Linked DNA regions of Caenorhabditis elegans. The protein of the gene in region 2 purifies or fractionates together with the protein of the main gene of each other region. This does not show direct contact. Each region holds a gene or a part of one and is shown on either strand. Other genes may lie near its edges. The genes, in order: Y23H5B.8 and lpd-3.

Evidence for each region.
Region 1: the proteins of lpd-3 (region 2) and Y23H5B.8 fractionate together in Caenorhabditis elegans (co-fractionation; one large-scale study listed by BioGRID). This does not show direct contact.

Annotation. Positions count from the first base shown.
Region 1 is NC_003279.8:2,545,817-2,550,351, reverse strand, and holds Y23H5B.8 (T20D4.11-like domain-containing protein), read left to right. Parts: upstream 1-1,952; 5' UTR 1,953-2,024; coding exon 2,025-2,231; intron 2,232-3,019; coding exon 3,020-3,148; intron 3,149-3,197; coding exon 3,198-3,386; 3' UTR 3,387-3,966; downstream 3,967-4,535. Other genes in the region: Y23H5B.3 (T20D4.11-like domain-containing protein), read right to left, coding at 4,199-4,411, 4,489-4,535.
Region 2 is NC_003279.8:3,597,585-3,602,573, forward strand, and holds the start of lpd-3 (Bridge-like lipid transfer protein family member 1 C-terminal domain-containing protein), read right to left. Parts: upstream 3,146-4,989; 5' UTR 3,094-3,145; coding exon 2,924-3,093; intron 2,373-2,923; coding exon 2,181-2,372; intron 1,391-2,180; coding exon 1,226-1,390; intron 1,179-1,225; coding exon 1,036-1,178; intron 1-1,035. Other genes in the region: Y47G6A.3 (uncharacterized protein), read left to right, coding at 3,745-3,820, 4,431-4,488, 4,564-4,654, 4,701-4,788, 4,914-4,989.

The DNA.
Region 1 (4,535 bases), 1.1 Mb from region 2:
AGCCGGTTCCTCAACCTTCGGCTTCTCTGGTGGAGTCTTCGCTTCATCCTCGACTGGCGGCTCTTCCGGCTTCTTCTCGACTTCTGGCTTCTCGCTAGACGCTTTCTTCGATCTTTGTGATCCCTCCTTCTTCGATCTTGCAGATCTCTGCGATCACTCCTTCTGAAACAAAAGAGCTTCGTAAATATACACTGTACTCCGTAAATCTACACAAACCTTCTTCTTCTCGGACTTCTGCTCCTTCTTGAGTCGAGCCGATCTCTGCGATCCTTCCTTTGCCTTCTCCGCCGATTTTGCAGGCACTCCACTCTTGGCCGGTGGTGCCGGAGCGGCAGAATTGCTCTGAAAAGATGGTTGTTACAGTGGCCGAGAAATAACTCTTCCACTCACCTTAATCTTCTTTTGTCGTTTCGAGTTTTGTTGTCTCTTCGAGTTTTGCTTCTTGTCTCGTTTTGATCGTTTCGATCGCTTTGATCTCGCCGATTTTCCTTTGCCACCACGCGAATTCTCACGATGTCCGGTGGTACAGCCGACGGCAATGATCGCTCCAGAAATTGACGCAGCAGCAGCGAAACACACTGAAAAACAAGGAAATTGAGATAAATTGATATTTCCGGCACTTTTGGCAATCGATAATTACCGGCAACTGTCGCCATTGCCTTTAACTATTACGAACCGGCAAAATTGGATTTATCGGCGCTTAGCGGCAACTATTGTTAATTGCCGGCGACTATCAGTAATCAATAAAATTAGAGTTTCATTGCCGGCGGTCAGCGGTGACTATCGTTAATCGAAAAAAAAATCCATTTGTTACAAGTAATGGCTGCTGCCGGCCACTATCGGCAACCGCCGGCGACTACCGGCAATCAATAAAATCGGAGTTATTGAAGATTGTCAGCAACCATTATGACACTTATTGATTTTTGTAGACACGCCGGCAACAGAAGCGGCAATGCTCCGACAACATCCTCGGCGATCGCTCAGCAACCATCGGCAACTTTTCCTAAACTCACGGTAATTCATGGCACCATGGAGGTGCTCCATATCCAAGCTCATTGTGAAGAGTCGAAATTTCGAAATAATTGATTTTTCGCCGAACAAGATTTGTGGTCCCGTGAGTTGAGATTTGATTATTTGATAAGAAAGGTCAGCACGGTCATTGACATTTTTTTAATTTTAATTTTTTTCTTTTTAATATTTTTGAAAAATAAATTTTAAGTAAAATTTTAGATAATTTTTACAGTGGTCTCTTGTTGATCTCGGCTGGAAGAGGAGTGACGTCACAGATGGCCTAAGAAAATGTGGTGTGACCAAGTTTTCCGCCAATTTCTGTTTCAGAAATTTGTTTAAAAATTTTTTTTCTAATTCAACACTAATTTCTCCTCAGAAAATTCAATTTTTCCGCCAAAAAAAAAGTTTCCCAGAAAATTTGAATTTCTCGTCAAGTTTTTTTAAATCAAAAATTTGAATTACCCGCAAATGTTTTTCTTTAAAGATTTCAAGCTCCCGCAAAAAAATTTCTGAGAAAATTAAAATTTTTCGTCAATTTTTGTTCAAAAAAATTGAATTTACTCGCCAAAATTTTTGTTTCAGAAAATTTGAATTCCCTCCCATTAACTCAAACAATTTGAAATTCCCGCCAATATTTGCCACAGAAGATTTAAATTTTCCACCAAATTCCGTTGTTTCAAATTTTAATTCCCCACTAACTTTTGCTCAGAAATTTTGAATTTTTCTGAAAAAAATTTGAACAAATTTGGCATATCCCTTTAAAAAATATAGATGGCAGATAAAAAACTACAAAAAAAATTTAAGTCGATTTTCCCCATCTCTCCATTGGAAAAATCGATATTTCTATACCTAATAAATATGAATCCGTTGACCTCAAAATATTTGTTTTCCCGACTTCAGAGACTATCTCCCGGGAAGATATATCTTCACGGAGACGAGGGATATATCTTTCGATAGGTCATTTCTTCTTCTTCTGCTATTCAATTGTTATTATTCAATATTTATACACCGAAATGGCCAAAATTCTCTTGTTCCTTCTCTCGACTTTCTTCGTTTTTTCCATTGTCTCCGGGCAACAAACAAACTATGAAAATTGTCTCACGAAGCTCAACAAAATGAAGAATATTTTGAATAATTTGAAGCTGGAAACTACGAAACACGGCAAAAATGTGAAAATTGGTAATTTGGAAACATTTTATCATATGTGCATTGACACAACGGTTAGTTTTATTTTTTTCAGCAAAAATTTGAAAAATAGAGTTTCGAAAAATATTGAATTTTCAACAAAAAATTTCTGCAAAAGTAGTAGGTGGCCTAGAAATTCTGCGGCCACCGATTTCCAATTTTTCTCAAATGTAGTTTGTGAACATTAAATTCGTTTCAAATAATGCCAAAAAAAATTCCATGGGAGGCAGGCGCGGTTTCAGGGCCTGCCTTCATCCTGCCCGCCTCAGCCTCTGGCCTCTCAACATTTTTCTACACAATGGCGAGAAGGAATATTTAGCACATTGGCAAATTGCCGGTTTGCCGATTTGCCGGAAGTTTTTAAAGGGATTTTTTCATAAGACGGAAACACTTAAAACTGTGCTTTTTTGAAAATTTTCCCGTTTTCTTTAAATATTTTCATAGAATCTGCTCACTTTTCAAAATATATGTAGGAAAATTTATAAGGTACGTACAAATCTGCCGATTGAAATTGAAATTCTGAAATTTCCTTTAAAAAATTGTGCAAAAGCACAATTTGCCCAAAATTTTCGGCAATCTGCCAATTTACCAATTTCCGGAAAAATGGTTTGGTCGCCACAAGGCGGGCGAGGTAGGCTTCTCTGCGCCTGCGTGGAAGCCTACTGGATAGAGCTTCTGTGATCACAACCAAGAAGTGGGCGGAACGAAAGGCCACGCCCGTTTAACGGCTCCCAAAAAAATTATGAGCATCAGAGGCCACGCCCAAAATTTGGTACATCACTTTTAGTTTTTTTTTGATATTTAAAAAATTAAAAGTTTTCAGAACTGCGTAGAATCAATGGAAATCCCAGAGCTACTAAAAAGTATTTTGAGATTCGGAACAATGTTCATGAGATCCGCCTGTGAAGACTTGGGCTTAAAAGTCGGACCATTCAGTAAATGCATGGAAAAGGTACCTACAAGCTTCTCCGAAAAAGATCCTCTAGAACATTTTATTTCAGACAAAATTCGACGTAACTACTCTGAAAAACACGACGATTGGAGAGGATAAACCAAAGTGCTGGTTGACACCTGACGAGTTTTCAGAGCTTCAACGGGTTGTTCAAGAGCAATGCGGAGATGAAGCATGGGAGGATATGTTGAAGAATGAGGATAAGGTCAAAGTGATGACTTGTGAAAATCAGCCATAATGTATCCAAACGACATTCCGATTCGCGGGGGTTGATCCCCTTTTTATCAAATGAAAAGCACCTATATTGTGTTCATTGTTTTTTTTAACCTTATTTTAACTTTAACCGGGAAACGAAGCCCAACTCAGGATATGGGCGGACTCTCTGTATTTTTCGATGTATCGATTTCCTTTGTTTGGATTTCCGGGATCTTGGTTGAAATTATAAATGACCAGGACATTAAGAAAACATTGGCCATAACGATTTATTTTATTTTTAAAATTCTAACAAACTATCATAAAACTGTCTCTGTTATTTATTATAGTTATTTATTATTTATTTATTATTTATTTATTTATTATATTTATATATTTATTCCACAAATTCAATATGCGAAAAACGAACGAAACCCTGTGTGCCACTAGGTAGGCGTCTGCGCACATTCTGCGCCGATTAATTTCTTTTCTATTTATCGGAAAGTGCGCAGACGGCGTCAAAAAGTGGGGCTGGAGACCAGCCACAGCCCCAAAAGGAGCTCAGCCCCACTGTAGGGGCTAGCTAATAGTGCATCTTTATGTTTTAAATAAAAAGTGCATTCAAAATTTGCGATACATCCATTTTGAGATAGTTTGTGAGCTGATAGCTTGTTTTTAACGATATATGAAAAATTGGTCATTTTTTTCTGCGGCCGACTTGTTGAGATGCTTGCAGAGATTATCTCTAAAATGTTGAGAAGTAGGAAAAAGTTGTCATCTGGTCAACATTTAGTTAGTTGATAGCACAAAATTGCATTATATAAAAGTTTCAAAATTGCCTTCATTCTTCAAACATCTTCATTTCGAATTAGGATTACCTGAAATTTTGATTTTCAAGCTATTACTAGAATTATTTGAAGGCTTGTAGATCCTGTTGCATCCAAAATATTCACGAATAAAATTCTCATTATCCAGCATTTCTTTGACGGCACGGGGGCCGCATATATTTTCTATTGGCATTGTCTTGCATTCATTGTCAGCCTCGAAATACTCGCATGTTGGAAGTTGTGCCTAAAAATCATATATTTGTAATGCAAATGCGCTCCACAGCACGCAAAATTCAAACTTATGTAAAAAAGAAATCTTACCGCATTATTCCAATGGCTTAAGCACGGCCACTCCATTAATGTGATGG
Region 2 (4,989 bases):
TTTTTTAACCTGTTGAAAATCATTTTTTCGGGTCATTTTGCAATTTTTGTGGGTTTTCTTTATGTTTAGGATCTATTTTCAACTCTTAAAACACCTTTTTGCGAGAAAACTAAGGATATCAAAAAAATTTCACGACTTTTTGGCTAATTTTGCACATTTTTCATAATTGAATTTTCAGAATTTTTTTTTTCAATTTTAATTCATCATTCGAGTTTTTTTTTTAATGTTTGCAGTAAAAAAAAAATGAAAATCGTTTTAAAAAATTCTGCGAAATTAAAACTACAGAACTCGTTAAAGGCGCACACCTTTTCGCATTTTACAAGAATTATTTTTCGTTTCGAGACCCAGTATCGTATCGTAGTTTCGGAGCAAAATTTCGGGCCTGTATAATAAAATTCGAATTTTGACTATTTACAGCTGGTGTGGTCGAATTTTTAATTGCATTATTAGACTTAAAATAGCCCGAAAACACCGAATTTCATAATGAAACTTTTTGAAAACTTCTCAAGAAAAGGTTATGACGGCTCAAAATATGGCCTAAAATTAGTTAAAATTTGAAATTTGACCGACTTGTCAAGCGGCTGGAAACTAATTTTTTTTTTGAAATCACCGTCAAATTTTGAGTATTCACGTCAATTATCTTGGTTTTTCAACTCGATTTAGGTATTTTAAATACGATGGACCGCGAGATGTGGTTAAAAAAATTGAAAATCTCGCCGTCCATCGACTTTAAAATACCTAAATTGAGTTGAAAACGCAGGATAATTACATTGTATACTCAAAATTTGACGGTGATTTCAAAAAAGTTAGTTTCTAGCCGCTTGACAAGTAGGTCAAATTTCAAATTTTAACTAATTTTAGGCCATTTTTTGAGCCGCCATAACTTTTTTTTGAGAAATTTTCAGAACTTCTCATTACGAAATTCGGTGTTTTCCGTACTCGTTAAAGGCGCACACCTTTTCGCATTTCAAGGAATTTTTCGTTTCGAGACCGGGTATCGTAGTTTTTTTTTAAATTATTTTTTTAAAACCTCACTATTCAAATTCTCAAATCGTGTCCATAGAGCATAGGGTAGGAATTTATTTCCGACAAGAATGCATCCAGCAGACACTTCAATATGTACAATACCCAATAGATTCCACATATTCTCCCATACAGACGACGGAGGTGATCTACAACTGAACATTGGCTTAGAAATATCTGCACGAAAATTCGATAATATTACGTGTCAGGAGGCTTCGTCTGAGGCCGCCGTGCATCGTTCATATTCGTATTCTCGAAAAACCAATCAAATCTCCGAATTCTCGCGATTTCCGTGTATTTTGTCAGATTATTGTAGATATTAACGTGTAATCCGTTGAGCACAAGATGTAATCGGGAAGCTCGTTTTCTGGAATTTTATAGGATTTTTTTTAGCGAAAAATTGGATTTTTTTGCAAAAAAAAAATAAAATTTTTGAAAACAAAATTTGAGAAAGTTTTGGCATTTTTTGCAAATTTTTAACAAATAAATTCTGCCACTTTTGCGCCCGGTCTCGACACGACAAATTTTGGCTGAATGCGAAAAGGTGTGCGCCTTTAAAGATTACTGTAACTTCAATTTCGTGGAATTTTCATAGATTTTTCATAGTTTTTCGATAAAAATTTATGATTTATTTTTAGAAAACATAAGAAATCGATAAAAATACATAAATTTCAACAAATCGTGAGAAAAACTATTACGGAGACATCTACAGATGAGTTTTTCGCCATATCATACGAGAATGGGTCTCGCCACGCTGAAAATTGGCTACTGTAGCTTTATGGGCCGCTATTGAATAATATTCATCAAACTAAATTGAAAATATTATGCATTATCGGACCATGAATCGACCCAAGCTACAGTAACTCGTTTTCAGCGTGGCGAGACCCATTAGCGTAAGATATGGCGAAAATTCTCACCTTTAGATGTCTTCGTAAATAGTTTTTTTCACGATTTTTTTGTTGTTGGTTTTTTCAAATTAATAATAATTGTAATAACTAAAAAACTATAAAAAGTCGATAAAATTGAAATTACAGTACCCTTTATAGGCACACACCTTTCGGCATTTAGCCAAAATTTGTCGTGTCGAGGAACCGTAGTTTTTTCGAAAAAATCGACTTTTTCGTTGTAAAATCGCAAAATCTAGGGGAATAACGAACGTTGAAAGATTCAAATGTCGATGTTCCACAGATTTCCAATATTTGAATAATAAATGTCCATCGTTAACTTTGATCGTCATATCTCCATTATCATAAATTACGTTTCGAAACATTATTTTGCCGGCGTGCAAGCCTGAGATCGAAATACCACCGATTTTGAAATGGATTCCATTTTTTGATAATCGCAAATATCTGAAAAATGATTTTTTTTTTCGATTTTTACCGCCAGTTTTGTTGGATTTTTCTTTTATAGTGCCCAAATAAATTAATTTCGCAATAAAACTTCTTAAAAATTGCATCAAAAATATCTTAATATTTTATGGCGGTTCAAAATTTCAAAATTTTGGAAAAAAACCTGATTTTAGCAAAAATCTTTTTAGCTAAAATTTCGCAAGTTTTTCCGTTTCTCAGTGGCCGGAAATTAATTTTTATTCGATTATTATACTCTTTGGATGCTTATCTCATGTTATTTCGTTGATTTAGGTATAATTAAAGCTTAAAATGTACCTAAATCAACGAATAACGAGAAATAAGCGATCAAAGAGGAGAATAATCGAATAAAAATTAATTTCCGACCGCTGGGAAACGGAAAACTTGCGAAATTGGAGAGTTTTAGCTAAAATTAGCCAATTTTTTCAACTTTCGAAATTTTAAATCGCCATAAAAATTTATTGAGCAATTTCTAAGAAGTCTCCTTGCGAAATTAATCCATTTTCAAGCAAAAAACCTTCAGTTTTACTCACTTATCTATAACAAAAGTGAAAAAGAGTGCGCTGACTCGCGAGAAAAACAATACGACAAACGTGCTCCACGCCAGGAAAAGTGTGACGACAGAAGCCGTGACCCAGAATGAAACTCCTTTTAAATCGAGCTGAGCATCGTCGATTTTGATTTGAATATCGAAATCCGACATTTTTTTTCGTTTTCGCCGCCGCCTAGAACCCGTAGTAGCCGACTGACATTAACTGAAAAATGAAAAACACATTTTTTTTTTTGGGAGAAAATGCGGAGAAAAATAGCAGAAAAACATTAAAATTCGCGAAAAAATAATAAAATAACAACATTATCAGCATAAAAAATGAAAAATAAACAAAAATCAACACTGCTGAAAATGGGAGGAAAACGCGCCCCATCGCACTTTTCCAATTGGCGGGGATTCAAATCAGTAATTTTACAAAAAGAGTCAGTTTAGATTGTTTTCCCAATGTTTTGAAGTGAAATTAAATGATAAAATATAGACAATTATTTGTTTTATCTGAAAATCGATATTATTTTTGTTAAAACAATTGAAAAAGTGCGAAAATTAGTCAATTTTCAACTTTCACACAGGTTTTGTGCATTTTTTAAAGATTATTTTAAGAGCAAAAAGTGAATTTTAATGGAGATAAACAAAAATACTCAATAAATAAAACGTTAAATTTAAAAAATTTATCGATTCAGTTCTCCGTGACCTTCTAAACTCAACAATTTTTCTGGAAAAACGTGTTCCACTTTCGGTTTTTCCCCAAATTTCAATGAAATTATTCAGTTCTTGTTATTGAATTCTTCAAGAAGTGAGTGAAGTATGATCGATCGCAACATAATCAAGTGTGCACAAATCCTAGTCATCATTCAACTTGGCTTCATTGTTCCCGGAAATGGTAAATTTGAATTTAATTGCAAAATTCTTGAATTAAGGAGATTTGCGATCGCCTTCTTAATACGGTATTCAGTTTACTTTGCTTTCCATGTAAAAGCTTATTACATAGTCGTCAAAAAATGAGAAATTTCGCCAAGCAAGGTCTCGCAGCGTAGTTATATATTCGTCGTAGGACCTTGTGCGTCCAGTGTGGCTGATTTTCGACTACGCACGTGGTGTCAGAGTGTCTTGATCTACGTAGATCTACAGAAAATGCGGGAGAAGAGACGCAGAGTTCTCAACTGATTTCGTATGGTCAAGAACGTGCTGAAGCCACATAATTTTGGGCATAAAAAATCCCGCATTTTTTGTAGATCAAACCGTAACGGGACAGCCTGGTACCGCGTGACTATGTACGTAATACAGTAATTTCCGGTACTTTGTTGCTGTGGTATTTTTATTGATTTTTAATCGAAAAAATCGTGTAAAATTTGATGAAAATGCTGCAGAGGAATTACAGTACTCTTTCAACTTTTCGTTTCGAGACCGCGTACCGTAATTTTAGGGCAAAAATCGTAGAATTTCAAATTCCGGTGCCAACATTCCAAAACATTAATCAAGCTCTCTTTTAGCAAAAATGCAAGCCTTCTCGATTAATGTGACGGAATATTCAATGGCATATCGATTTAAGTGAGATTTTCTTCTTAGATTTTGTTGCTAGAAACTAAATTTAATTAATTAATTAAATAATTAAAATCTTTTTAGCATTTTGGCAATTGGAGGCATTTTCAACATGACAATTTCATTGTTCAATCTTATCTTTGCCCTCTTCAATTTTTACCTAATCTTTGGAAGGGTAAGTGTTCAGAGCTAGAACCCATACAAAAATTCATGATTTTCAGTATGATTTGAGACTTCGTCAAATTGCTGAAAAACTGAAAATCGCGGTGGACGAGATGGCCGGAAGGGATTTGCACCCGAAGCTTAAAAGTTAGTATTCGCAAAAATTTGTTTGGGTCTCGCAGCGAAGTTCCGTCTATTTTTGGGGCGAGGCCGTGACCTCGAGAAGAAGCGATACAAGTTAGAGAAAAATTAACATTTCTCCAAATTTTCAGTGTCCCTCTCGCGTACAATTCCACGGGGAACTTCAATGCTTGATGACATTTGGAAGTTGCTCAAAGAGCCCAGTGC